Macaca mulatta: one gene and its partners. The protein of the gene in region 7 interacts with the protein of the main gene of each other region in a pairwise test. Links are inferred from orthologs where the notes say so. Each region holds a gene or a part of one and is shown on either strand. Other genes may lie near its edges.

Region 1 (4,407 bases), on a different chromosome or scaffold from region 7:
ACCTGTATTTTCTTAGCTGGAGGAGTGTGCAAAGTTTGAATTACTTCTGCCTTCTTCTTATTTCCTTTTCCCTCTTAAAATAGTCATCATAATCATAAAAATTTATTTTCCATTTTCCCTGTTTTTGCATATAGGATTTCTTGGTGTGATTTCAATTTGCCAATTAGTATCTAGGTTGCAGAATGGTGACTTGGAATCAAGTTGAAACTGGAAGAGGGTACCTTATATATTAGGGTCAGCAATTACTAAACTCTGTTCTCTTTTATTCCAAACAGTGTCCCCAACTTCACATTTCCCCAGGGTGCAAAAGAGGGGGATCAAGCTTCAGTAGAGTGGAGCTCTGAGAAGAATTCACTAGAGTTTGGAAGCCAGGACCCTTTTTATAACCTTGTTCCTCCTCACCTGGGCAAAAGCACTAGTGCCCACTGCACAGGTGTCATGGACGGGCTCTGTGTCCTGTGGAGAGCCCCCATCCCAGGTACAGGACATCAGCCCTGGGACCTGTCCCAGGCTGGATCTTCTTCTTTCTCTCTCTCTCTCTTTTTTTTTTTTTTTTTGAGACAGAGTCCCACTCTGTTGCCCAGGCTGGAGTGTAGTGGTACAGTCTTGGCTCACTGCAACCTCCACCTCCCAGGTTCAAGCGATTCTCCTGCCTCAGCCTCCCGAGTACCTGGGATTACAGGCGCCCGCCACCACGCCCAGCTAATTTTCCTATTTTAGTAGAGACAGTGTTTCACCATGTTGGCCAGGCTGGTCTCGAACTCCTGACCTCAGGTGATCCGCCGGCCTCGGCCTTCCAAAGTGCTGGGATTACAGGCGTGAGCCACCGCGCCCGGTCTCAGTGACTTTAGTCAAGTAGCACAAAAAGAAATATATAATTCCAAATTGTGATAAATGCTATGAAGAAAAGGAACGTGCCCTGACATACAAGGGGGAACGAATGCGATCTAGGGAGTCAGAGATTTCTCCGAGAAGAGAGCTGAAATAGGAGTAAATCGAGAGGGGGAAGAGACTGCTAGACCGAGGGAACCGTGCGTGCCAAAGCCGCGTGGCGGAAAGGGGCGTGCGGGAGGGTAGCTGCGGAGAGGGAGGGTAGAGGACAAAGCCGGAGAGGCAGACGGAGGGCCGGACGCGCAGAGCCCCGCGGCTGCTGCCTTAGGGGTTGTCCCGGCTGTGGGGAAGTCCTAGAGGAGTTTAAAGCCGGAAGGTGGTGACTAATCAGATTTCACTTGAAAATGGCACGGTGTCTGCAGTGAGGTGAACTGATGGGAAGGGCCCAGCGAACGCCAATAGGAGAGAGCACCGGACCTGAAAGGCCTGGTTCAACGCGGCCCCGCGCGGGGGCGAGGCGGTTCCGGCGCAGAGCCTAGCGCGCGGCTCCGCGGAAAACCGAACCGGCCCACGTGGGCCCGGCCGCTCCGCCCCGCCGCGCAGACGCCGCCTGACTCCGCAGTCCGGACCTGGGGCTGGGCGCGCTGCCCGGGAGCCCCGCACCCACCCTTGGACCGCGGAGACGCCCAGGCCGAGGAACCCCCAGCCCAGGGACTAGACACCACCAGGGCCGGGCGGAGCCATAGCCAGACGCGCCGGATCGGGCGCCTCTAGGCCGTGAGTCGGAGGCGGGGGGCTTGGGGCCCAGCCGCGGGAAGCGGGGAGTCACAGCGGCCTCCGAGGAGACTAGGGAAGGATGGTCTCTGCCTCCTGGGGTGTTCTCCCACTCCCGCAAGGCCAGGAAAGGAGGCTGCCTCCTATTTGGGCGGAGACCTAGTCCTGGGGTGGCGGGGTTCCTATTTTACTATTTCTGAGAACCCTGTGATCCCTAGCGCCACCCCTACCCCATCCCAGCTTCCTTCATGGCCCCATCCAAGTATAGGAAAAATTAAAAATTGGGGCGAGGGGAGATCTGTAGGCACCTTCCCACAAGCCTTGCTTAGAGGGCGATTACAAAGGAACTGTTCCTACACCCTTCTCCCCAGGACTTCTGCCCGTTGCTGGGGGTGGGGAGGGTCCATGCCACCTATGGAGCGCCTCCCAGTGCCGGCTCCACTTACAATATCCTTCCTCTTCATGCTCTTAAATTGTTCTAATCCCAGTGCTGTTTGGTCAGTAGAATTCCTTTGTCAATTCAAATCCTAATTTTGGTTAGAAGCAGGTTATGGAGGAGAGAAGAGTGGTGTGGTATGCCCGCCCTCCAGGGCCTCAGGATGGAGCAAGCTAGGGACAGGGACACAAGATAGTGGCCGTGTTCCAGAGGCATTGGGAGGGAAGTGGGCAGGCTCAGAAGAAAAGCTTGTCACTGGGGAAGGCTGGGCTCCCTGGCTGGGGTAGGAGAGGGAACTGAACCCAGCTCTTCCAGCCCGGGGGAGTCGGGAGTAGCTTCCTGAGCATGGAAATTCACTGCAGTCTCTTCTCCCATTCACTCGCTTAGCAAGTACCAGTATGCACAGATAGCCTGGTTCCGGGCTCTATGCTGGCTGACTCTGGGGAATATGATGGAGGATATATAGGGGAGGTCCAAGCTAGATTACAAACTGCTATTACAAGATCATTGCCACAAACCAAAACTGCCAGTTAAATAGACATTCACTGATCGTCGACCATGTATGCCAGGGACAGACACAAAGTTGGATAAGACAGTGTGTACCCAGGGCAGTGGGGACCCAGAGGAAGGCATAACTAACCGTGCTTGTTTATGTAATATTGATTGCGGCAGTATCAAGACAGCTTCAGAGACATGGGTACATGGAGATATGGGGATATTACAGCTGATTTTGAAGTACAAAAAGGAATTTGCTGGGTGGAGAAGGGAGGAGCTTTGAGGGGAGGGGAGAGGAAGGATATTATAGGCCAAAGGAATACTGTAAGAAGGACAATGGTGTGTTTTGAGATCTCTGGGCAGTTTGCTATGATGGGAGGGACAGAGTGGCAAAAGGCAGGTGTGGAAGGGTGAGCAGAGGCTAGATCAAACAGGGCCTTGTAGGCCACATAGAGGTTTAGCAGGAGTTCAGGGAGGGCATTCTGAGTGGTGACAAGTGAAATTTACATTTGTAACTGGGGGCAGAGAGACCAGTGAAAAGGCCGAGGCAATAATCCAGGTCAGAAATGGCCTGGAAGAGGAAGAATGGTCAGAATGTGGTTATCAATGAGATGGGAGAAGGAAGGAGAGTGAGGAGCCCAGGATGCTCCTAGCCTTCTGGATGGAGGGTGGAGCCATCTTGCTGAGGATACTGAAGGAGAGCTTGTTTGGTTATATAGAATTTTGGTGGTGGGGGCGGGGGGCGGGGGGTGGAGAGGGATGAAGTCTCACTCTGTCACCCAGGCTGGAGTGTGGTGGCACAATCTCAGTTCACTACAACCTCTGCCTCCTGGGTTCAAGCGCTTCCCAAATAGCTGGGATTACAGGTGCCTGTCACCACGCCTGGCTAATTTTTGTATTTTTAGTAGAGATGGGGTTTCACCATGTTGGCCAGTCTAGTCTCGAACTTCTGACCTCAGGTGATCTGCCTGCCTCGGCCTCCCAAAGTGCTGTGATTACAGGCATGAGCCACCGCACCCAGACTGGTTATGTAGAATTTGAGGAGCCTATGATTGGTTGCAGGGTTGGATAGCAGTTAGATCTGGGCTGAAGACAGATCTGAGAGTCATCAGCATATGATGGACCTTGAAGCTACAGCAGAGAATGAGGTCCTCTGGAGAGAAATGTGCAAAATCAGAAGACAGCCTGGCTCTGAGGACTGAGGAAAAACCCTCTGCAGGAGACTGAGAATGAACAGGTAGACAGGGAGGACGAAAACCGTGAGGGGAAGTGTCACCAGAGTCAAGAGAAAGGGCTTGACAGGGAGTGGTCGGGCTCTTGCTTTCAGCCTTGTCCCTGCAGCTAAGTTGCCCTGACTTCAGGCACCCCACCCTGTCCTACTGTGACTCAGTCTCCTGCTTTCCCTTTACAGACCAGATGTTCGCCATCCAGCCAGGGCTAGCTGAGGGGGGCCAATTCCTGGGGGACCCACCTCCTGGAGTATGTCAGCCCGAGCTCCAACCAGACAACAACTCCAACTTCATGGCAAGTGCCAAGGATGCTAATGAGAATTGGCATGGGATGCCAGGCAGAGTGGAACCTATCCTGAGGAGGAGCTCCTCTGAGTCGCCCTCTGACAACCAGGACTTCCAGGCCCCTGGATCCCCTGAGGAAGGGGTGCGCAGCCCCCCAGAGGGGGCAGAGATTCCCGGGGCTGAGCCTGAGAAGATGGGTGGTCCTGGCACAGTCTGCTCCCCTCTGGAGGACAATGGCTATGCCAGCAGTTCCTTGAGTATCAACAGCCCTAGCAGCAGTCCTGAGCCTGCCTGTGGGACCCCGCGAGGCCTTGGCCCTCCCGATCCCCTTCTGCCCTCAGTGGCCCAGGCTGTGCA
Region 2 (4,218 bases), on a different chromosome or scaffold from region 7:
AGGGAACAAAAAGAGAATGTGGTAGAGGCGAGGGTAGACCAAGTAAAGAAGATGGAGAAGAAACTATAGAAATAAGAGAAGAAGAGATCATGCCAAATACAGGAAAGAGGCATGAGACAAGAAGGATGGAAAGGGGCAGAGAGAAAAGGGAAGAGTCTGGGTTCTGAGCTGATTGTGCTATTTGTGTACAGTGTGTGTTCCTTTGGGCTGTTAACATTCTTTCAAGATAGAAGCTCCAAGATGTTTCCTTACCTAATCTCCTAAGTGGCATACCATCATCACTTCTGCCGGGTTCTATTGGTCAAGCAAACCAACCTTTACAAAGTGGCGGGGAGCTATGCAAGGGTATGAATAACAGGAAGACGGGATCCCTGGGAATGACTTGGAATGTAAGTGGCATGGTGGGCAGAACCATAGCCTAGGGTGAGATAGCAGGAACCTGGAATTATAGTACCTTAATGTGATATGAACTGATCTGAGCAAATGTGTTTGAACACTCACCACATGCCAAGAGCTGTTCTAATCCCTTTGCATGCGGTATCTCATTTAACCCTCTTAACAACTTACGGAGGCAGACACTCTATCCAGAGAAGAAATTGAGGTACAGAGGTTAGTAGCACAGTGACAGAGCTATTATAAGGAAGGACTTGTCAGGACCTGGAGAGAGACTGGGTATGAGAAAGGTAAGTGGCTGTCACAGTGTCCTATGGGATTTTTCCAGATAAACCACCCTGTATAGTTAACCGATCCATCCATGCAGGGCTAGGATTCATTTCGACCTCGCCATAGTAGCTTTCCAGGGGCCAATCCCACTCCAGCCTAAAGCACCCCATAGGCTATCATTTAAACTGCAGTAGGAACTAAGCCTTAGACCAGAAATTTCTCCCTGATGGGATCCCTGGAATGGTTCCTAAATAGCTGGGTCTTGTTTCCTGACAATGCCGCCTGCCCCGAGGCTTGATGTGACTGCATAGCTTCTGCCGTTTGTAAAGGCGGGGAATGACGTTTTATGTTTGAACCCAGCAGGTCAGGCTCCTGAAGAGGTCAGGTAGTCTGTGGAGAGGACTACTGGTGTTTGCTATTTATTACATCTCTCCCAACACATAAAATCTGGGGTTCACCAAAGCAGGCGGTTTTCTTCCACATACTCCTCTAGGATGGAAAATGCCCTCCAGTGGAAATGCCTTTCCACTCTGCTTCTGCTGAATTTTCCTCCAAGATTTCCTCTAACTGTGGACTGCCAGCTCCTCCCTGATGTCTTCAGGCCCCAACCCAACCTGTTCTTGTTGCAATCCACAAGACTCCTTTCAGCATCTTAACTTTTTCCCCAGTTTTCTTTCATTTTCTCCTGGTCTGTGTTGACTGCGGTCTCCTTCTCAGCCTTTTCCGTCCTTCATCTTGTCCTACAAAGCCACACCTGTACCGACAAGTGCCAAAGAGTTTGATCATTTACTTAATGTCAACAAAAGAAAGAAAAAAAAAGCTCTAGAGTCGCCTTGGCCTGCGGCACCCAAGCCGAGTGAACAAGTGGGGCCCGCGCACCCTCCTACCCTCCACCTCGCATGGAACCCCGAGCTCTGAAACATGGAAAGGCCCAGACCTGCTGATTTAATCTAAGTCCTGCAGTCCCCAAGAGATCATAGACTGCAGATCCCAGTCCCACGAACTAAGAGAGGAGAGGAGCAAGGCTACCCCGGACTACCGCAGCTCGGGGACAGCGCGCAGACCAGGCGGCCCGAGATGCGCAGGCCACGCAGCCTGGCCGACGACTGTCCCTGGAGAGCCTCCAGGCGCCCGGGTGGGGCCGCGATCGCGCCCCGCTAGTCACCCGGCATGTGGGCGCGGCGGGGCGGCGCGGGCGGGCCGGCTGCAGGAGCTGTTTGGCGTCCCGGTCAGAGTATTTGCTCAGCCCGCCTGCGCCGCTTGGGACGCTTCTGCCTTTCCCTCCCTCCCTTCCCCGACGGCTTCTGGCGGCCAAGTGGATGTGGCGGGTGATCGGGCCACCCTGCCCAGGGGCGCCCAGCACTGGTAGGTGCTGGGGTTGGGGAGAGGCTTTGGCGAGAGTGTGCATGGGGTGGGAGTAGGGGGAAGGGAATTTCCTCGGGGGTTGCAGGGGTGCATGGGAGGCGCAGGGGCCAGAGGGGGCGGGCGGAAGCCTCACCCCCGCCTCCACCCCTTCGCGCCGCCCGGGGCGGGCTCAGGTGCGGGGTTAGGCGGCTAGAGCGGCTGCGGCGGGTATCCGGTGTCCGGTGTCCGGTGTCCGGTGACTGGAGCCGCTGGCTAGGTGAGCGGCTGTCCCCGGGGTCTGGGGGCTTGCAAGGGGTGGCGGGGGGAACTTCGAGGGAGAGGGTCTGCCGGAGCTGAGGACTTTCGGGGAAGTTCTGGGATCCGGCGGGGACACGCGGCGCGTGCTTCTACCCGCAGGGAGTGCAGGCCCCGGGAGGGTCCGGGCTGGACTGGAGTTTCTAGACTCCTAGCAGGAGCACGTCCTGGACCTGCGCCTGGAGATCTTCCAAGAGGGAAGTCCCGGGAAACAGTGGCAGCCGGCGCAGCACCCCGGCAGCGCGTTCCCCGCGCGCCGGCACCCAGGGGCGCCCCCAAGTGGGGTCAGGGCGCGCGCGGAGGCCCGTGCAGCGCCGCCTCCCAGGGGCTGCTGCGGCGGGGCTGGCCCAGACCCAGACCGGGTGCCCACTGGGCTCAACCAAGCGGCGCCCCTGCCCGCTCCTGGACTCGGGGGTTACGCGGGCACCGGAAGGAGCTACAGTTTGTAGGTTTTCTGAGTTGTCTTTCCCTTCCCAGGGAGCTTAGAGAAACAGCAAGCGTGGCACCTCCCCCTTCCGAACAGATGCTCCTCATCGCCCAAAAGGCTTTTATTTGATTGCTGGTTTAATGGAAACAACGACTTGGGTACCATTATTTTAAAATAGTGAATAAATAAGTGGAAAGCATACAGGGGCATAGATTTGGCATAGGAGTGGAATTTTCTATGTATACTAAATCTGTGTGTACAGTAACTTCAAATTTCTGAAGAATAGTATATATTTACAAAACTTGCCAAATTGCTGTCATCTCTGGTAATTTGTTTCATCTCCAAAAACAGCTCTTTTGCTGGTAGATGAATAAGATAAAGTTTGAATAAGAAAACAAAGCTCGACCACAGAGCTGGCTGTTTTAAAAGAATTAGAATTCAAGCTGTATTGTTAATGTTATAGTTACACTGTCCATACCACAATACTTTTATTTATTTTTTATTTTATTGGGTAAGTGCAAAAGTAGTTGTGTTTTTTATGGCAAAAACCACATTTATTTATTTATTTAGGCCATAAAAAAACACAATAACTTTTGCACCGACCTAATGTTTTTCATTTTTGAGGCAGGGTCTCCTTCTATCACCCAGGCTGTAGTGCAGTGGTGCGATCTTGGCCCACTGCAGCCTCAAACTCTCCAGCTCAAGTGATCCTCCCACCTCAGCCTCCCAGGTAGGTCGGACTCTAGGTGTGGGCCACCACACCTGGCTAATTTTTATATTTGTGTAGAGATGGAGTTTTGGCATGTTACCCAAGCTGGTCTCGAACTCCTGAGCTCAAGCAATCCACCCACATTCACCTCCCAAAGTGTTGGGATTACATTTTGAACCACTGTGCCTGGCCTACTATTTTTATGATTTAGGCTGTATCTTAGGCCTTTAAAATTTTTTATTTTGTTTAGGTATCAGAGTTATCCAAAAGACAGTTGTATGGTAGAACAGTGTGAAGGTGTGAGAATCAGGTCAAATCTATGGTATCATGGAAAACAACAGATTCTCTGATCCTTTAGCAATTGCTGTTCAGAATAAATTGCAGGTGTGGGCTTGCTTCTTATCATTTCTCTCTTTTAAGAAAGGTGCTGTGTTAGCTGAGCTATTCCTTTGTTGGATCTTGAATAACTGGAGGTTTGCTGCCCTTGATATAGTATGGGAAAGTCCTCAGCATTTGAATCCGTATCAGCAATGATTATTTGTTCTCGTCAGGGAATGAAAGTGGGAAAACCCTGGTTAGTTAATTTCCTCATTTCTATTTCTTCTACCGTGGCTCCACCAGTCTCCTTCACTTCACAGTAGATTATGTCACATACCGACTCATTAGGAGTCACAGACTGAACCAGCCCTCATTTCACAGATGAGGAAACTGAGTCCCGAGGAGGCGAGGTGATAGCCACACTGCTCATTAGAGGCGGAGC
Region 3 (4,288 bases), on a different chromosome or scaffold from region 7:
CCAGCTGGACTGTGAACGTCACGGCATCCTCAAGGCCCCAAACCCACAGCCTGCTATTTAGACCCCTTACTGTTTAGACCCCTTACTGTTTAGACCTCTTACTGTTTAGACCCACGGTGGTGGTGATTTTGGATAGACTCATTCCCTTGTAGTTCTTGTTAAACCGGGTTTTTGACTGTTCCAGGAAGGTCTGAGGAGAGAGGGAGAGGCAGACACATCAAGTAGGGGCTACACTGGCTTCCCAAATATCCTTCCTCAGGCCTGTTCCTTAAGAGAGAAAAACAGAAACAAAGCAACACTCTGCTCTTCAGGAAGCTGACAATCCTGTCGTCTCAGGTGAAATGTGGATTCCATCTGGGTAGTGAACATGCAGCTGACAGCACAAAACCGAAGCGGGGGCCACCCGGCCGTGGGAAAGGTGCGGGCAAGGGAGTGGGCACTCACCGTCTTCCCAGCATTGTCCAGGCCCAGGATCAGGATGCAGTACTCGTCCTTCTGAAACATGTACTTGTACAAGCCCGACAGCAGCGTGTACATCCTGCCCTGGGCGCCCCAACATGTGTCAGTGTGCAGCCGGAACGCAGCTCCCCGCCCCCGGGCTTCTCCACGGTGGTCAGGGGCGCCCCACGTCCAGCTGGCCGCTCAGGACGAGAGCCTGGGGGCCATTCCCGACTCTCCCTCCTCCACCGCACCCCTGCAACTCCTCCCAGGCCGGCCGCCACTCCGTCCTTCCGCTCACAGCAATGACTGCGACCTTTCCGAACCCGCAGCGGCTCCGGTCCCTCCCCTGCTCGCGGGACCACCCAGCCGGGTGTTCGCGGTGAGCTCCGCTGCGCTCCCGCCCTCCCCCGAGGTTTCGCTCCCACGCTTCACGCGCGCGGAACGGGGAACACACTCGCGGCAGCCCCGCCTGGGCCCCCGCGCCCCACCCGGGAGCAGCGAGCCGCCGGCGCGCTCCCCAGGAGCTCCCCAGGGACGCCCCATCAACCCATTTCTTAAAACGGGGACGGCCAGCGGGAAGCGGACTACAGGGCGGGTGCGCAGCGGCCCGGCTGCTCCCGGAGGCAGCGCGCGGCGGGCAGGGAACGACTCCCGCGGAGAAAGAACCCGCGTCGGGGACCCCGGCTACGGCCGCCCCATGCCGCGGCCGCCAGGTTGGAGGCTCGCCGACAAGCAGCCAAAGCTGGTTCCTGTCACACCTGCGTCCCACCTCCAGCTCTGGGCCGCCCCTCGGGCCTCGCGCCCCACCGCATAGCCTGCGGCCTACCTGCGACCGCCGCGACCTCGGAGCCGCCGCTGCTGACCCCCGCTGACCTCCGCTGACCCCGCGCTAACCCCGCGCGGCGCCTGACGGGACGAGAGCCGGCCTCAGGGAATGAGCTGAAACGCGTCCCGGCGGCCTCCGCGCTCCGCTTCCCGGCTGCCCCCGCGCGCCAGGCACTTCCGGAAGTGGCGGCGCTCGGGAGGAAGTGCTGGTCGGCGGCGGGGACGAAAGGGGGGTGCCGGGCCGCTCTAGCCGGTGAGGCCGGCGGGCTCTCTATGGCGGCAGCTGGGAAACCGCGCGGGGGAGGTTCCCTGCCCGGGGAGAGGGGACCCCGGTTTGCGGGGACGCGGCCTTGGCCAGACTGCAGAGACGCCGGGCGCGGGGGCGGGGCCGGCCTGGAAGGCAGCGGGCGCGGCGGGTGGGCTCGGCGGAGGGCCGGGCGGCGGGGCGCCCCGCGGGGAGGGGGTCTCCGGAGTGACGCGGGACCCGGCTAGCGGCGAGCCCAGGGCGGCTCGGAAGGGAAGCGCGGAGCCTGAGCGGGGGTACCCGGTCTGCGACCTCTGCGCTGGGAGCTGTGCCTCTGAGCCGGTGTCTCCCCGAGGGACAGGGGACGTGCCCGTGCCCTCCCGCAGTCTGTGGGGCCGGTCCCGAGACGCGGGGCTCACCTGGCTTCTCTTCTCGCAGCCCTGGTCCAGCGCCTCCCTCTCTCAGCATGGACGAGGAGAGCCTGGAGTCGGCCTTGCAGACCTACCGTGCGCAGCTGCAGCAGGTGGAGCTGGCCCTGGGCGCCGGCCTGGATTCGTCTGAGCAGGCGGACCTGCGCCAGCTGCAGGGGGACCTGAAGGAGCTCATCGAGCTCACCGAGGCCAGCCTGGTGTCTGTCAGGAAGAGCAAGTTGCTGGCCGCGCTGGACGAAGAGCGCACGGGCCGGGAAGATGCTGAGTACCAGGCTTTCCGGGAGGCCATCACTGAGGCGGTGGAGGCGCCAGCAGCAGCCCCTGAGTCCGGATCAGAGACCGTTCCTAAAGCAGAGGCGGGGCCCGAATCTGCAGCAGGTGGGCAGGAGGAGGAAGAGGGAGAGGACGAGGAAGAGCTGAGTGGGACAAAGGTGAGCGCACCCTACTACAGCTCATGGGGCACTCTGGAGTATCACAACGCCATGGTGGTGGGAGCGGAAGAGGCTGAGGATGGTTCGGCGGGTGTCCGTGTGCTCTACCTGTACCCCACTCACAAGTCTCTGAAGCCGTGCCCGTTCTTCCTGGAGGGAAAGTGCCGCTTCAAGGAGAACTGCAGGTAAAACCCTTTGTTATCAGGATGCCAACCTTGGGGCGTAAGGGGCACGCACACAGGGTCGGGTCAGGGTGGCCCTCCCTTTGCTTTGCAGTTTTGTCTCAGCTTCTTGGGGCAGGCATGCTTTGTGACAGCAGTGTCTGTGTTCAGGCGTCTGCGTCTTTGTTCCGGGGTAAATCAAGAAGCATAGAAGGTGGCCGGGTGCGGTGGCCCACGCCTGTAATCCCAGCACTTTGGGAAGTCAAGGCGGGCAGATCACCTGAGGTCAGGAGTTCAGGACCACGCTGGTCAACATGGTGAAACCCTATCTCTGTTAAAAACACAAAATTCAACTGGTCGTGGTGGCGCGCACCTGTGGTCCTAGCTACTCAGGAGGCTGAGGCAGGAGAATTGGTTGAACCCAGGAGGCCAAGGTTGCAGTGAGCGGAAATGGAGCCACTGTACTCCAGCCTGAGCAACAGTGCAAGGCTTATGTGGAAGAGAATAGGTCTCCAACCTATCGTCATTGTTTTTTTTTTTGGTTGTTGTTTTAATTTTTTTTGAGACAGGGTCTTACTTTGTCAACCAGGCTGGAGTGCAGTGGCGCAGTCCTGGCTTACTGCAGCCTGGACCTCCTGGGCTCAACTGATCTCCTGCCTTAGCGCCCCTAGTAATTGGGGTACAGACTCACACTACCACATCCAGCTAATTTTTGTATTATTATTACTTGTTTATTTATTTATTTTTTGAGATGGAGTCTTGCTCTGTCGCCCAGGCTGGAGTGCAGTGGCGCAATCTCGGCTCACTGCAAGCTCTGCCTCCCGGGTTCAAACAATTCTCCTGCCTCAGCCTCCCTAGTAGCTGGGATTACAGGCACCTGCCACCATACCTGGCTAATTTTTTTGTACTTTTTAGTAGAGACGGGGTTTCACCGTGTTAGCCTGGATGGTCTCAATCTCCTGACCTTGTGATCCGCCCACCTCAGCCTCCCAAAGTGCTGGGATTACAGGCGTGAGACACAGTGCCTGCTTTTTTTTTTTTTTTTTTTTGGAGATAGAGTTTCACTCTTGTTGCCCAGGCTGGAGTGCAGTGGCATAGTCTCAGCTTACTGCAACCTCCTTCTCCTGGGTTGAAGTAATTCTCTGCCTCAGTGTCCAGAGTAGCTGGAATTACAGGTGCCCACCACCACGCCCGGCTAATTTTTTGTATTTTTAGTAGAGACAGAGATTCACCATCTTGGCCAGGCTGATCTTGAACTCCTGACCTCGTGATCTACCCGCCTCAGTCTCCCAAAATGCTGGGATTACAGACGTGAGCCATCACGCCTGGCTAATTTTTGTAGTTTTAGTAGAGGTAGGATTTTGTCATGTTGTCCAGGCTGGTTTCACGCTCCTGAGCTCAAGTGATCCACCTGCCCTGGCCTCCCAAAGTGCTGAGATCACAGGCATGAGCCACTGCGCCCGGCCCTGTTGTTAGTTTTATTCTCTAGAGTTCAACTTGAAAACTTTACTTTTTTTTTTTTTTTTTTTTTTTGAGACAGAGTCTCGCTCTGTCACCCAGGCTGGAGTGCAATGGCTTGATCTCAGCTCACTGCAAGCTCCGCCTCCCGGGTTCACGCCATTCTCCTGCCTCAGCCTCCCGAGTAGCTGGGACTACAGGCGCCCGCCACCTCGCCCAGCTAATTTTTTTTATATTTTTAGTAGAGACGGGGTTTCACTGTGTTAGCCGGGATGGTCTCGATCTCCTGACCTGGTG
Region 4 (3,697 bases), on a different chromosome or scaffold from region 7:
ATAGCACACTCCATTTGGAAGCAGTTTGCACAGCTATTCCAGAGACATTTCCTTTAATTTCATTCTAATATTCCTCAAGTGTGCCCTCTTTGAACATATATACCTGTAGCTGCTCTGTACCTACTCAAAAGGTCCTTTTTGTATAATAATTATAATGTAATGGTAAATGTAAAACTCTATAACTGTAATGTTTATTGAACACTTAGTACATGCCAGTGATCAGTGATTTACATGTGTTACATGTTACAGTGCCTTTTGAGATGTAGGTTAGTACTGTGGATTTCATTTTGTATGAGTGAAAACTGTGAAGGCAGCTTGTGAGGGTTATAATTATGATTCAAACTCAGGCAGCCTGACTGTAGAGCCAGCTCTTTTAACATTACACTACACAGGCTAAACCTGGGTGAGGGTATTGCAGAGGCAACTTAGGAAGTTCCTTCACAGCCTAGATCAGGAAACTTCCAAGCTCATAAAATGGACTCACTAGGCTCCTGTGATCAGGTAGGAATTCACACTGTTCTCTCTTTGCTGTTAAAAATCAATCTTTTCCAAATGGTCTCTTTGCTCTTCCCCTTTCTTTATCCCCCTCACCCACAAATTTTATCTAAATAGGTGTGTAGTGTCCCTCACATACTCAGTTATCCAGCAGCAAAGAGTTTCAGTATTTATAAAAGAGAGTCTAATTCTGATAGAAAATCTGAAGTCAGAGATTCAGGACTTAGTGAGCACTTCAATATTTCTGTGTCTGGAGAATGTTAAATTAGGCCTGGATCACTTGAAATTTTTACTATTTATTGAGTAAAAATTTTGTGTATAGCCCTATGCTAACCCTTGACGCTCTCAAAGACACTAGATTTCTGTAAATAATCCCAGCACTTGGGGAGGCGGCTGAGGCGGGTGGATCACTTGAGGTCAGGAGTTCAAGACCATCCTGGCCAATAAGGTGAAACCCCATCCCTACTAAAAATACAAAAATTAACTGGGCATGGTGGCATGTGCCTGTAGTTCCAGCTACTGTAGAGGCTGAGGCAGGAGAATCACTTGAACCGGGAAGTGGAGGTTCCAGTGAGCGGAGATCAAGCCATTGCACTCAAGCCTGGGTGTCGCAGTGAGACTCTGTCTCAAAAAAAGAAAATTGGTTCTGGACCTCCCGTAGATAGCAAAATCTATAGTTGCTCACGTCCCTAATATAAAATGGCACAGTATTTGCATATAATGTATGCATATGCTTTAAATCCCATATACTTAAAATCGTCTCCAGATTACTGATAATACCTAATGCAGTGTAAATGTTATATAAATAGTATGCTGTATTGTTTAAGGAATAATGACAAGAAAAATCTGTACCTGTTCAGTACAGACACAATTTTTCCCCCCCAAATATTTTCAATCCACAATTGGTTGAACCCATGGATACAGAGGGCCAGCTGTCCTTGAAATCAGGGAAAGAAGCCAGAGGCCACTGGAGAAAGGTAGGGAGGAGGGGGAGTGTTTGAGTGCTTCCCAAAAGCCAGTAGCTGCATCAGAATCACCTCAGCAGCTTTAAAAAACAAAACAAACCAACCAAACACTTCTAAAGATCTGATTTGTTGCTGGGTGTGATCTTGCATGCTTATAGCTCCAGCTACTCAGGAAGATCTCTTCGGCCCAGGAGATTGAGTCCAGCCTGGGCAATACAGTGAGACCTCATCTCTTAAACAAACAAACAAAAAGATTCTGATTTTATAAAAGAGCAGGGGGAGTCCTAGAACCTTTTTTTTTTTTTTTTTTTTTTTTTTTTTATAAATACTCCTTAATCTTGCTTCTGATATACAACCAAGTTTGGGAATCAGTTTTATTCTCATCACCTGCTCTCTATCTCTGGCTCTAAATAGGAGATACTAGTTAATTTACACCAAATGAGTAGCTGACAGAATTGGGGGTGTGTCTAGGCGGAGGATGACATACAGAGCCAATTGAACCATCCCACAACCTGCTCCACTATCTTTTTCTGGAAGGTTCTAACAACAAGCCCAGGAAGTTTCAGGGAAAGTATATACCTGTTTCTGCCAGCAGTTTCACATTTATTCACATTTATACTGGGAAGGCTCTCTCTCTTGAGGCTTTCTTAAGATGCATTTCTTGTAGTGGGATGTATAATTGCAGCAGAGATCTGGCAGTGGCAGAGGTCTCTGGGTATGAGATCATTAATCCTCAGCTACAGAACTCAGGCAAGATTCCCAAAAGTCTGTTTAACCATTTTGGTTAACCAGATATCCTAAATTTCTGAGGTCACTGACAGTCATCTAATTTGATAGAGAAAGAAATTGAAGTGAAAAGGGCATTGTGGTCATCTGAAATTATAAATGACAGTGACTGAAACTCTGGCCCAGGAAGTGCTGACTTTCAACATTCTCTGAGAATGTCCTAAGATGATAGGATAAATAAATTGCATCTCACCCTCCAGGAACAGAGGATAGAGTGGTTAGTTGTAGGGGACTTCTTCCACCACCAACCCCTTCCCGGTGGGCTGACCACACTTAGTGGTTTAGGTGTAAATGCAGCCTCTTAGGTGTTTTCCAGCTGTTTTGTTGCCATGACAGCGTGTTTGTTATGCCACTGTTTGACTCTGGCCTCTCACAGCTCAGTTGCTTGTTTGTTTCAGGATAGGGTATTAACTATCTGGGCAGCAGCAGATAGTAGACTTTTTCTTCCATCCAAGAGACTTAAGCCATTTAGTTCCCTGGTCTCCCAGCTACTGTAGATGCCTACCTCTGCCTCTGATATTCGATCCTTGGAAGTCTTATTTTTCTTAAGAGTTTGGTCTTCTCAACTTCCTATAGAAGCAAATTTCCTTTCACCAGGAATGTGAAGTATAGTCAGGTTCTCCTCTTCAGTTTCCCTCCATTCATCTCCTTTGATACAGCTAGAAAGCTCTCAGATGTTTCCCCAAGAATCACCAAAAGAGGGGAAATCACATAAAGACTGAGCAGATGGTGGGTGCAGATTTAGCAGAAGAGTTCAGATCTTCGAGAAGGAGGTGCATTCATGACAACCAAGGTTAGATGATCTATTGAGATTGGCCTACCCTTTGGGCATCTTTCAGGATAAGCTTTCAAGCATTGCTTTTTGGGGAGGGGCCACTATGAGTGTCAAGTCATAAATGGGGATAAAGGAGGGCAATGAGGATTGTAAAAGGAGAGGTGGTTAATAGAGGTGTATATGGAGTAGAAACCCCAACAGTTAAGATCCCAGGTACCCACCCCTATGAAATTTACACATGAGCCCTTGAAGGAAGAGGGTGACCAGTGGGACTTATGAATAGGAATAACTCCTCACAACCACCTAGTATTTCTCCGCAAGGTTTTTGCTGTTGAAGACTGACTCCTAGGTGGGAGCAGCTCCTATGGTCACTGCTCAGCTTCAACCCAAGGACCCAGATGCCTGGTTATTGGTGATCCTGCTTTAAGTCTTAGATGAATGATTTGATGTCTGTAAAATTGTACCTCCCTTTTAAACTTAATTTTTATCTTACAGCAGCAGCCAGTTAGGAGGAGAAGGGGAGAGAGCTCATTTGATATTAACAACATTGTCATCCCAATGTCTGTTGCTGCAACAACTCGCGTAGAGAAACTGCAATACAAGGAAATCCTTACTCCCAGGTAGAAGCTCAGAATAGTTGGTCCCTCTCCCCATTCTTCCTGCTATTGCCCTTTTT
Region 5 (2,843 bases), on a different chromosome or scaffold from region 7:
CTTTCTGCTTTGGTGGAAACGCACTGAACAGGCAAGCCAGGACACCGGTCCTCTGGTTCTTACTCTGATGACTCTGATGCTGTCTTCCTTGGCCTTGGCTTGGATTTTCCTCTGTGAATGAGGGGGTTAAACTAGATATCTCCAGGTTTTCATCCAGCACAGAAATTCTAGTCTGTTTTCTACCATCCATCAGATAACATACTCCTTTCGGATGAATCAAATAATCCATGTAAAGTGCTTATCAAAGTGGTTGGCAAGTTAACTCCTTTTAGTAGTTTCATTTACCAAGTTACTCATTTGTGTAGTTTCCACAGTACCTTTCACAGATGGATGCTGGGTAAGTGTTTGCTGGCTGTCCTCTAAGAATGCTTTTTGATCCTCTGCTGATCCCCTGCTCACCTCACAGAAGGCCTGACCGCACACGTACTAGTATCAGCAAGAAAAACTCAGGAAGAGGAGACTCTTTAGGTTCCATGAACACACAGGAGAAAAACCAGCAGATGGAGGAGGAAATACACCATTTATTTACAATTCTTTTCACTTTATCCACAATTTCCCATACAAACATAAAAACTAAAAAAATAAAACCACCACTTGGGAACACAAGTGTCTTTCTTTAATTAGTCCGGTTGAGGGGACCACTGAGGCACACCGAAGGGGAAAAGGAAGAGGGTCGGGAAGAATGCCTGAGAAACAGCTCCAGATGAGAAACCTAACTCACACTGGTGTGGTGGGCCTCACTGGCAAAGAGACTCAAGGGTGTTACCCACCAGGGATGCTGCTCGGCTTCCCAGGAGGATGACAGCTGCTGGCCCCCATCCCCCCACCCTCCACTACCAAATACCAAAACTCAAACAAGGGGTCACACATCTCATGAGCTGTGTGGGGAGTGAAGGTGACAGTAAGGGACAAGGAGTGCTGCTCTCTGAGAAGAGCCCCAAACCCGAGGGACACACAGGAAGCCCCTTTCCTTGGCACAGTCTTCAGTCACAGCTTCTGTCCTGAATACAACGCTGAACTTGAAAATGTGAAAACAAAAGCCCTCCCCAGATTCCGGGGAAGGTGGGAATAAAAACACATAGAGAGGGCTTGCCCGCCTCTGCAGTCCCTTCTTGGGGAGGCTGCTAGGAGCAAAGCGAAGATGCTCCAGGAAAGTCTGGGGGTTGGAGGGCAGGGTGAAGAAAGGGGCAAGGAGGACTCTGAGACACTGATGCTTGGGATGGCTCCACCCGCTCAGCCACTCACTCCAGCAGCCTCCCGTTCTACCCCTCACAGCAGGACACCCAGGACCAACCTGGAGGCGCTGAAGCCACCTTCCTGGCAACTTCCTCTGTGCTAGTGACCTAGATTGCTTCCACATGTTGATGCACATTATAAATATAAAATCATATCTGCTTACAAAGAGGACATATATTTGTACATCTTTACCCATATACATAATAACACAATTTACACATAATATCTTGGAGTGGGTCATCATGGAAAAGGAGTTTGGAGAGGTAAACAGCCCCTTCTGCCTCCCCTGCCCTGATCCCTCTTCAAGGGATGCTTATACACTTGGTCACTGGGGCCCTTCCCAACTAGTCTGATGGGGCTCATCTGGACACAGAAATTCAGACATGTGACTAAATGCTGATGGGTGTGTATACACATTCACACCCACACACACATGCAGACACCTGGTGAGAAAAGGAAAAATAAAATTCCTAGCTCTTGGGTGTAGGCCTCTTCCCAGAGTTACAAGCATCAGTGTCTCCTCCATCTAGAATAATGGTTTTAAAAAGCTACCCCTCACTGGCTCAGACTAGGGCAGACGGGGAAGGGCTAGGAAACCAGGGAGAGGGAAGAGGAGCCGGGAGTCTTTTGAAAATATAAGGCGTTTTTGACCTGTGATCAAATCAAACTATGTTCACAAAAAAAAGCAACAGTTTTCAGTTGGGGCCTGTCCCTGTAGGGACAATGTGAGTTGAGACCCTGAGCCTTCCCCTTCTTTGTCCAGTTTCTTTTAAAGGGGCAGACAACCCTGTACCACCTTTTCTGTCCTCTCCCAGAACTGGGCCCATCCACGTGGCATGGAATACTGACAGTGGTCCAAGTGACACATCCAGAGACATGGAGTGGTGGACGCCAGAAAGTTAAGACCTGGGCGGCGGGTGTGAGCTTTGTACAACAGGAGTGGTTCCTGGCCGGGGTCCACGGCTCGCACAGTGGCCACAGTGATCAGACTGCCATCAGAGATGAGGGCAGTCTGGGTCCCCGGAGGAGACAGCACCTATCGGCGGTAGTGATTCGGGGCATCGGCAAACATGTACTTGAGTCTGTATGCCTCGGCGAGAAGCAGCCCAATCTCTTCGTTGCCCCAGTGTATTGTAGGTAGGTTCTGCAGCAGCATGAGGAGACCCTGGAATGCAAGAAAGGGCTTTTTTATCATACCAGACTATAGACCAGCGGACCAGCAACCCCATTCTTAGAGACCAAGGCCTAGAATGGGGCCCCTTCCTCCTGGCTCACACATCCCAAAGAGTCCAGCCTCCTTCCTCCCAACAGCACACAGCTTTCAGTCCTAGTTCACCTCAGGAAGCCTTGCAAGCCTCTGCTGATTCTCTAGTCCGCTAACATCTGCCTCTTTAAAAACATAAAAACATAAATAGGGAATGACAACAATAAAGATTTTTTTTTTTTTTTTTTTGAGACGGAGTCTCGCGCTGTCACCCAGGCTGGAGTGCAGTGGCCGGATCTCAGCTCACTGCAAGCTCCGCCTCCCGCGTTCACGCCATTCTCCTGCCTCAGCCTCCCGAGTAGCTGGGACTACAGGCGCCCGCCACCTCGCCCGGCTAGTTTTT
Region 6 (3,697 bases), on a different chromosome or scaffold from region 7:
ATACCCTGCAGCTCACAGATGGCACCACTCCCACACCCACAGGCTCACACAAGCCACGTACGTAGTTACTAACGGGCCTCCCAGATGCAGTGGACCCAGCACCAAGGACACACTAAGACACCTGGGTGCTCGCCTGCACTCTTTCATCCTGAGTCCTGCCCCAGCCCCGAGGAGTTTCCCCGGGTGGGTGGGTGGGTAGACTGCTGGGCCCTGGTGTCCCTCTGCCTGCCTGCCTGCTGGCCCCCAGCTCCCCCTCCCCGTGCCTCAGGGGCAATGCCCAGGCTGGGCTGAGGATGAAGCCTCCCAGGCAGACCGAGGTGACCATGCGTGATGACTCTCTCCCACCTGTGACCTGTAGATGGCCCCCAGTCCCCCGGTGCGGGCGGCCCCACTTGCTCGGCCACCAACCTGAGCCGTGTGGCGGGCCTGGAGAAGCAGTTGGCCATTGAGCTGAAGGTGAAGCAGGGGGCGGAGAACATGATCCAGACCTATAGCAATGGCAGCACCAAGGTGAGGCAGCACACGCACACACGCCGTGTGCACACACCACACCTGCGCACGTACAGTCCACCCACACGTGCACACCCACCCGCATGTGTACACATCTGTCCCCGTGTGCACATGCCCACTCGAGTGTGCACCCACGCCTGTACGTGCACACACTGGCATGTACCCCCACATCTGTACATGCACACACCTACCTGCATGCATGCACTCACCCACATGTACACACACGTATACACCCACACGTGCACACACCTGCATGTGTACACACCCTTGAACGTGCACACACAGCTGCACGTGCATGCACACTTGCACACATCCACATGTGCATATACCAGCATGTGTACATACACCCCCATGTGCACACACACCTGCGTATGCACACACACCTGCCTGTGCACCCACATCTGCATACGCATTTGCAGTGCACACGCACATGTACACACCCACATGTACACACCCACTCGTGTATCTGCACACACACTGCACATGTATACAGCTGTATACATGCACAGGTGTGAGCAGATCACAGGCTGGGGGCATAAGGTGTAGCCTACAGCTGTCCCCATGGGAGGCTGGGAGCCTTTGGATTGGGGACACACTGGCTGATGGGTGTAACCTGGTGTCAGGACTAAGGCACAGGCAGCTCATGCGGGCATATGGGAAGCGTGACTATGGGCGATGTCAGACAGACATGTGGCAGATTGTCTCCCCTCCTCCCATGGTCTCCTGCAGAGCCTCAGGCCCATCCACAGTCAGGGCAACATGCAGCCTCTCACTGCTGATGGTCTTCTGTTACAAGCACACACAATCATGTCAATACCTTGACACACACACACACCATCATAACATCTAGACACACACACACACATGCTGTCATAACATCTAGAGACACATACACACATGCTGTCATAACATCTAGAGACACACACACATGCTGTCATAACATCTAGACACACACACACACATGCTGTCATAACATCTAGAGACACATACACACATGCTGTCATAACATCTAGACACACACACACACACCATCATAACATCTAGACACACACACACCATCATAACATCTAGACACACACACACGCTGTCATAACATCTAGACACACACACACACATGCTGTCATAACATCTAGACACACACACATGCTGTCATAACATCTAGAGACACACACACACACACACCATCCTAACATCTAGACACACACACATGCTGTCATAACATCTAGAGACACACACACACATGCTGTCATAACATCTAGACACACACACACATGCTGTCATAACATCTAGAGACACACAGCGGTAACAACATCTAACAACACAGGGAGAATCCCACCACAGCCACATCTGGACACATACACACACTTACATTCATACCCAGAGACTGGTGCACACGGACGCACAGACACACACACATCCCCCATCCTGCCAGTCAGTCCCAGGAACACACAGGTCTCCACAACACCCAGAAATTCTGACACCACAAGCACAGGCCGACCTACAGCTAGAGGATTAACGTCCAGACCCACAGGCTGGTGTGCGCCTGTCCTTCCACGTGAATGTCACATGGGAGGACAGACTGCATGGATTTTTTTTAATGACACTATTTTATTTATTTTTTTGAGACAGAGTCTCACTCTGTCACCCAGGATGGAGTGCAGTGGCGTGCTCTCGGCTCACTACAACCTCCGCCTCCTGGGTTCAAGTGATTCTCATGCCTCAGCATCCCAAGTACCTGGGATTACAGGCATGTGCCACCACACCCCACTAATTTTTGTATTTTTAGTAGAGATGGGGTTTTACTATATTGGCCAGGCGAGTCTCGAACTCCTGACCTCAGGTGATCTGCCCACCTCGGCCTCCCAAAGTGCTGGGATTACAGATGTGAGCCACCTTGCCTGGCCTAACATTATTTAATTTATTTAATTTATTTTTTATTTTTATTGAGATAGGGGTCTGTGTTGCCCAGGCTGGACTCGAACTCCTGGGCTCAAGCATTCCTCCTGCCTTGGCCTCCCAAAGTGCTGGGATTACGGACCTGAGCCACTGCGCCCCATTTATCAATTGATGGACATTTGGTTGTTTCCACGTTTTTAGCGATTGTGAATAGTTTTGCTATGAACACCCGTGTACAAGCATTTGAATACCATTCCATGAAAATTTAAAACCTAGAACAACTGTGTATCTTTTTACATGTATCTGAGCATTATACACAAAAAGAATAAGACTTTCTCACCCCCTAAGAATTTCTGCCCCCTCGGGGGTGATACTGACCCGATGAAAATGAATAGAGTAGGCCAGGTGCGGGTCCCAGCACTTTGGGAGGCTGAGGTGGGCGGATCACTTGAAGTCAGCGTGGCCAACATGGCGAAACCCCAACTCTACTAAAAAAATACAAAACTTAGCCAGGCGTGGTGGCACATGCCTGTAATCCCAGCTACTCGGGAGGCTGAGGCAGGAGAATTGCTTGAACTTGGGAGGCAGAGGTTGCAGTGAGCTGAGATCACGCCACTACACTCCAGCCTGGGTGACAGAACGAGACTTTGTGTCAAAAAAAAAAAAAAAAAAAAAAAAGCTGGGTGTGGTGGCGGGCGCCTGTAATCCCAGCTACTCAGGAGGCTGAGGCAAAAGAATCGTCTGAACCCAGCAGGTGGAGGCTGCAGTGAGCCGAGATTGTGCCACTGCACTCCAACCTGGGCAACAGAGCGAGACCCTGTCTCAACCAATCAATCAATCAATAAAACAAATTGCAGCCGAGAGAGGTTGAATGGCTTGCTGGAAGCCACACAGATGTTAAGTGACAGAGCCAGGATTCAAACCCCATTTACTACATCATCCCACTGTATCCAGGAATGCATGGAAGTGCATTCATTTACTTATTTATTTATTTTGAGACAGGGTCTCACTCTGTTTCCCAGGCTGGAGGGCAGTGATGCAATCTCAGCTCAGTGATGCCTTTAGCTCCTGGGTTTGAGTGATCTTCCTGCCTCAGCCCCCTGAGTAGCTGGGACCACAGGTGCACACCACCACACCCAGCTAATTTTTGCATTTTTTTTTTTGTGGAGACAAGGTCTTGCCATGTTGCCCAGGCTGGTCTTTAACTCCTGGGCTCAGCAGTCCACCCACCTTAGCCTCCCAAAGTGCTGGGATTACAGGCGTGAGCCACCATGCCTGGCCTGCAAATGCG
Region 7 (4,438 bases):
CCTCGGTCTTCCAAAATGCTAAATTACAGGCGTGAGCCACCGCGTCCGGCCTCGGAAAACTCTTAACTGCTTCCCATTTTTAGTTCTGGCAGCTCTCTCCATATTTGTGGAAACGATTTATTGGATTATCAATGTAAGGTATTATCTGTCGACTCACTGCTAAAATAGATCAGGATTTAACTAACACTCCTCTCCACCTCTTCCCTCTTTCCGAATTTCTAACAGTTTATTACCTTATGTTCTAGAGATAATCTTTCAATTATATACTTAAACCTCGATTTTTTTGTTTCGTTGCTCAAAGTTTGCTAGATATTGGCCCTGCTGTCTTCCATCAGCTGCAATTTTACCTTTACGTCAAGGTTGAGAACATTGACCTTCAGGTCTGTCATCCTGCTTAAGAGTTTCCGTGCTTTGTCTGTAAGATGGTGCTAAAAGCTTTACTCATGAGCAGTATTTGCTGGGTTATGTCGGTGGAGGACAGCGTGCTCTGCCTTGCTGGCTACTAAGTGCTGGGGCTGCAGCCTGACCCCTCCAGGTGCAATGCCACGTCCCCAGATGCTTAACTTGTGGTCTAGAGGTACCTTTTAAAAATCGTTGCAACCCTGCTTACAATTTTCCCCCTCCAAGTGGACAGCTTCGGGCATCCCTCACTGCCCCAGATTCTCAACGGGGTCTGGCGCCCACCGTTTTAGGGAGCGTAATTCCCAGAGCTCAGATGTCAACGAGACAAGAGCTACCGCTCAGTGGGCGTTTTCTCAGCCCTAAACTCCCGATCGACTCCGAGTCTCCTTGCCGGACCCGGAGCAAATCTCAGAGTCAACATGCGAGAAGCGGCAGCCGGGCGGCGGACCTCCGGCTTCCGGCACCCTCGCGCTTCCCGCCGGCACGAAGGACGCCTCTCGACAACCGCCCGCCTCTCAGAGGCCGAAGTCCTAGGCCCTCCGGCCTGCGCTGCCTGTCCACGGACGCGCTGGCCTCGGGACACCCACCAAAGCGGCAGGACTCGCCTCCGCCAGCTCCACAGCCCGGAACCTAGTACGCGCTCCTAGGAGCCGCACAGCGCAGATCAGGGGGCGGGCTTTCGGCCGCACCCCTTCACTGTTTCCCCGCCTTCTTTGTTTATTCGGGGCCCGTCATTGGCTGCTTGGCCTCGAAACCGGGCGAGCCGCGGGTCTTTGGAGAGACGCTATTGGACGAAGTCCCTGTCGCTCGGCCAGCGGCCCGCTCGCGATTGGTTGAGAAGCCGCCGGGGGTTTGAATCGCATCCCCGGCCGGGGAGGGTTCTGCCAAAGTGCCACGTTGGGCCCGGCGGCGGCGTGAAGACCGGCGGCAGCGTGAGAACCTGGCTCCCTACGTTCGCGCCGTAACGCCCGGCCGTTGGGGCCGTTGGGAGGCGCTAGGCGAGTCGAAGCAGCCGGCCGGTCGGCGGCGGTCGCCGGCGGGAACGGGGCTGAGGCGGCGCGGCGGAGCCTGGGCGGCGGCGCGTCCCGCCCGAGGGCGGCTCTGGCTGAGGGCGGAGGGGCCGGGGAAGAGCCCGGGGCAGCGGCTGAGGCGGGACGGCGGCGGCGGGGACCGTTGCCCCTAGAGGACCCAGCCGAGATGCTGGCGGAAAACCTGGTGGAGGAGTTTGAAATGAAGGAGGACGAGCCGTGGTACGACCACCAGGACCTCCAGCAAGGTGAGGGCGGGGGCGCCCCGCGGGCGGGCGGGCGGCGGCGGCGGCGGCCTGGCCCGGGAGGCCCCCGCTGCGAAACTGTTAAAAAGTTGCTTTTTCTGGCGGCTGAGGATGCAGGTGCCGGGAAGGGCTCGGGCTCACCTGGCGGCGGGGCCGGCCGTGCCCGTGGATCCCGCCCGCAGGAAGCCTCGGCGCGGGGCCCACGGCCCTGCTAATGCGCAGTTGAATATCAGACCCGAGGCGCATGGGGGCCAGGGACGCGCCAGGCACCGTTTTAAGCGCTTTCCGTGGATTAGCTAGTTTAATCCTCACTGCATTCCTCCGAGGCAGACCGGGTGAGCCAGTGTGTCCCGTAGTAAGTGGCAGAGCCCGAGAAGCCGCCCCCTCGCAGGCTGTGTAGCCCAGCGCCTTTCTTGGCCAGCACGGAGGGCCGGCTGCTGCAGGTGGTAGTGGTTTTGCGATGTAGCGGGAGCTGTGCGCTCTGCGCCGTAACTCTAGGAGACAGTAACTTTTAAAAAATTGATTAATTTTGAGGGTACATAGTAGGTGTATCTATTTATGGGGTACGTGAGATGTTTGGATACAGGCACGCAGTGTGAAATAAGCACGTGATGGAGAACGGGGCGTCCATCCCTTCCAGCATTTATCCATTGAGGTACAAACAATCCAATTACACTGAGAGTAACTTTTGTTATCCCATTTTCCAGATGAGGAAAGCGGAGGTTGAAACGGTTGAGTGGCTTGCCTAAAGCTAAGTGGGGGAGGGAGTGGTTTTTTGAACCCACACACTCAAAAGGAGGAGTTGTAGTCACTCCTCAAACCCCCATCCCTTCCTTACCATCCTAGTTAACAGTTTTTTTTCAGTTGGGAATTAAGCTGTTACGCATAGTTCACCAGATGCCAGTTGAAATGACAGAAGAGCGCTTCTACCTCTGCCACTTTTCTTCAGTTTGCATGCCAGCTTTCACTTAGAAATAGGCCTGCCGATGGTGTCTCCAGAGAACAATCATAGAGCAGCCAACACTTTGGGGCCAGTGGGGCCCCACTTTTTTTTATACTAATAGCAGGAGCTAGCAATTGGGGAACACTTTTGATGTGCCTAACACTGATAGGCCCATAACAGAGTTGCTCATTTATCTCCCAGTAACACAATAGAGGTGATAATGTTGGGGAGTGCTAGGGTTCCCCTTAAGACTCGAGAGCAAACATTCTTAACCGCTATACTGAACACTGTGAATAATCCTCAGGAATTTTTCCCGGCATCTTTGGTTTCTGCAATTCTATGTAAATGTTTTCAGCTCTAATCTTGCAGTGAAAATTAACATCTCATTTAGTTAAATATTGAATGATGCTGATGCTTGTTCATGCTAACCACTGAACATGGCAGATGCTTGTTCATGCTAACCACTGAACATGGCAGATGCTTGTTCATGCTAACCACTGAACATGGCAGAAGGAAACTGTGTAGACTTGAGTAACTCAGAAAAGGAAAATAAAACGAGCACCTCTTTTGGAGGAAGATAATTTCTTAAATTAACATGCAATCACTTTAACCAAAGTAATTCACCTTTATTACGCTTATAGAGTCCAAGCTGCTTAGTGGTTGCAGTGCAGTGTTTGGTGGCATCATCTTTATGTCCAAAGGACACATTTCTCATACGTTTTAACAAACCTGTTTTCAGATTTCCCCATAGGGATTGATGGCCTAGTTTGATAGTTTCTCCAGGATTTGTGAGGCAACCACTGTGCCATTGCAGTATTTCCCTATAATTTAATTTGTATCATCACAACTAAATATTTTTCTTTCCTGTATTTAAGAAGCATAGGCCGGGTGCGGTGGCTCACGCCTGTAATCCCAACACTTTGGGAGGCCGCGGCGGGTGGATCACAAGATCAGGAGTTTGAGCCCAGCCTGACCAACAAGGTGAAACCCCGTCTCTACTAAAAATACAAAAATTAGCCAGGCGTGCCTATAATTAGCATGTGCCTGTAATCCCAGCTACTCAGGAGACTGAGGCAGGAGAATTGCTTGAATATAGAAGGCCGAGGTTGCAGTGAGCCAAGATGGCGCCGCGGCACTCCAGCCTGGGCGACACGAGACTCTGTCTTAAAAAAAAAAAAAAATTTAAGAAGCATAAATCCTTAAGGGTATAGAGGGGGCAGGTTCTTTTTTCTGGTATTCCCAGCATCTAGCATAATACTTGGCACATACTGGAAGCTCGATTTTAGTATTTGTTGAACTGCACTGAAGCACTATCACAGAAGTGTTTTCATGGCTCTCTTCCATCAGGTGCCTTAGTCCACGCTGCGTTCTCCCACTGTTGGAGGTTGTTTGGAACCACCAGCTGTAACACTTCAGTCTATCAAGCAGCAAGTGCAGCGTGTCAGGGTTACAGGTGGAATTCTCTTTAACCTCTGATCAAAATAAAGTCATCAACTCTTCAAGTTTAACGTTAAAAACACAGGTCTGGCCAGGCGCGGTGGCTCACGCCTGTAATCCCAGCACTTTGAGAGGCCGAGGCAGGTGGATCACGAGGTCAGGAGAACGAGACCATCCTGGCTAACACGGTGAAACCCTGTCTCTACTAAAAATACAAAAAATAAAAAATTAGCCGGGCATGGTGGTGGGCGCCTGTAGTCCCAGCTGCTTGGGAGGCTAAGGCAGGAGAATGGCGTGAACCCGGGAGGTGGAGCTTGCAGTAAGCCGAGATCGCACCACTGCACTCCAGGCTCGGCGACAGAGCGAGACTCCGTCTCAAAAAA

What was found.
Region 1: the proteins of CDR2 (region 7) and C1H1orf216 interact in binary tests that used the Homo sapiens proteins (3 or more experiments, as listed by UniProt). The two-hybrid records come from large-scale screens. The link is inferred for Macaca mulatta from reciprocal best matches to the Homo sapiens genes CDR2 and C1orf216.
Region 2: the proteins of CDR2 (region 7) and SH2D4A interact in binary tests that used the Homo sapiens proteins (3 or more experiments, as listed by UniProt). The two-hybrid records come from large-scale screens. The link is inferred for Macaca mulatta from reciprocal best matches to the Homo sapiens genes CDR2 and SH2D4A.
Region 3: the proteins of CDR2 (region 7) and ZGPAT interact in binary tests that used the Homo sapiens proteins (3 or more experiments, as listed by UniProt). The two-hybrid records come from large-scale screens. The link is inferred for Macaca mulatta from reciprocal best matches to the Homo sapiens genes CDR2 and ZGPAT.
Region 4: the proteins of CDR2 (region 7) and KANSL1 interact in binary tests that used the Homo sapiens proteins (3 or more experiments, as listed by UniProt). The two-hybrid records come from large-scale screens. The link is inferred for Macaca mulatta from reciprocal best matches to the Homo sapiens genes CDR2 and KANSL1.
Region 5: the proteins of CDR2 (region 7) and TBC1D22B interact in binary tests that used the Homo sapiens proteins (3 or more experiments, as listed by UniProt). The link is inferred for Macaca mulatta from reciprocal best matches to the Homo sapiens genes CDR2 and TBC1D22B.
Region 6: the proteins of CDR2 (region 7) and PKN1 interact in binary tests that used the Homo sapiens proteins (3 or more experiments, as listed by UniProt). The link is inferred for Macaca mulatta from reciprocal best matches to the Homo sapiens genes CDR2 and PKN1.

The regions. Positions count from the first base shown.
Region 1 is NC_133406.1:205,102,671-205,107,077, forward strand, and holds the start of C1H1orf216 (UPF0500 protein C1orf216 homolog), read left to right. Parts: upstream 1-1,430; 5' UTR 1,431-1,608; intron 1,609-3,598; exon of another isoform or gene 3,599-3,773; intron 3,774-3,947; 5' UTR 3,948-3,952; coding exon 3,953-4,407.
Region 2 is NC_133413.1:20,954,236-20,958,453, forward strand, and holds the start of SH2D4A (SH2 domain-containing protein 4A), read left to right. Parts: upstream 1-1,340; 5' UTR 1,341-1,982; coding exon of another isoform or gene 1,983-2,028; intron 2,029-2,103; exon of another isoform or gene 2,104-2,284; intron 2,285-3,377; exon of another isoform or gene 3,378-3,479; intron 3,480-4,218. UniProt on the Homo sapiens protein: Inhibits estrogen-induced cell proliferation by competing with PLCG for binding to ESR1, blocking the effect of estrogen on PLCG and repressing estrogen-induced proliferation. May play a role in T-cell development and function.
Region 3 is NC_133415.1:116,567,375-116,571,662, forward strand, and holds the start of ZGPAT (zinc finger CCCH-type with G patch domain-containing protein), read left to right. Parts: upstream 1-1,439; 5' UTR 1,440-1,519; intron 1,520-1,948; 5' UTR 1,949-1,976; coding exon 1,977-2,557; intron 2,558-4,288. Other genes in the region: ARFRP1 (ADP-ribosylation factor-related protein 1), read right to left, coding at 103-190, 445-543, 1,200-1,253. UniProt on the Homo sapiens protein: Transcription repressor that specifically binds the 5'-GGAG[GA]A[GA]A-3' consensus sequence. Represses transcription by recruiting the chromatin multiprotein complex NuRD to target promoters.
Region 4 is NC_133421.1:70,935,602-70,939,298, reverse strand, and holds part of KANSL1 (KAT8 regulatory NSL complex subunit 1), read left to right. Parts: intron 1-3,516; coding exon 3,517-3,641; intron 3,642-3,697. UniProt on the Homo sapiens protein: Non-catalytic component of the NSL histone acetyltransferase complex, a multiprotein complex that mediates histone H4 acetylation at 'Lys-5'- and 'Lys-8' (H4K5ac and H4K8ac) at transcription start sites and promotes transcription initiation.
Region 5 is NC_133409.1:144,908,240-144,911,082, forward strand, and holds the end of TBC1D22B (TBC1 domain family member 22B), read right to left. Parts: intron 2,402-2,843; coding exon 2,273-2,401; 3' UTR 502-2,272; downstream 1-501. UniProt on the Homo sapiens protein: May act as a GTPase-activating protein for Rab family protein(s).
Region 6 is NC_133424.1:15,052,686-15,056,382, forward strand, and holds part of PKN1 (serine/threonine-protein kinase N1), read left to right. Parts: exon of another isoform or gene 1-358; coding exon 359-510; coding exon of another isoform or gene 511-560; exon of another isoform or gene 561-2,245; intron 2,246-3,697. UniProt on the Homo sapiens protein: PKC-related serine/threonine-protein kinase involved in various processes such as regulation of the intermediate filaments of the actin cytoskeleton, cell migration, tumor cell invasion and transcription regulation.
Region 7 is NC_133425.1:21,841,649-21,846,086, reverse strand, and holds the start of CDR2 (cerebellar degeneration-related protein 2), read left to right. Parts: upstream 1-1,524; 5' UTR 1,525-1,599; coding exon 1,600-1,678; intron 1,679-4,438.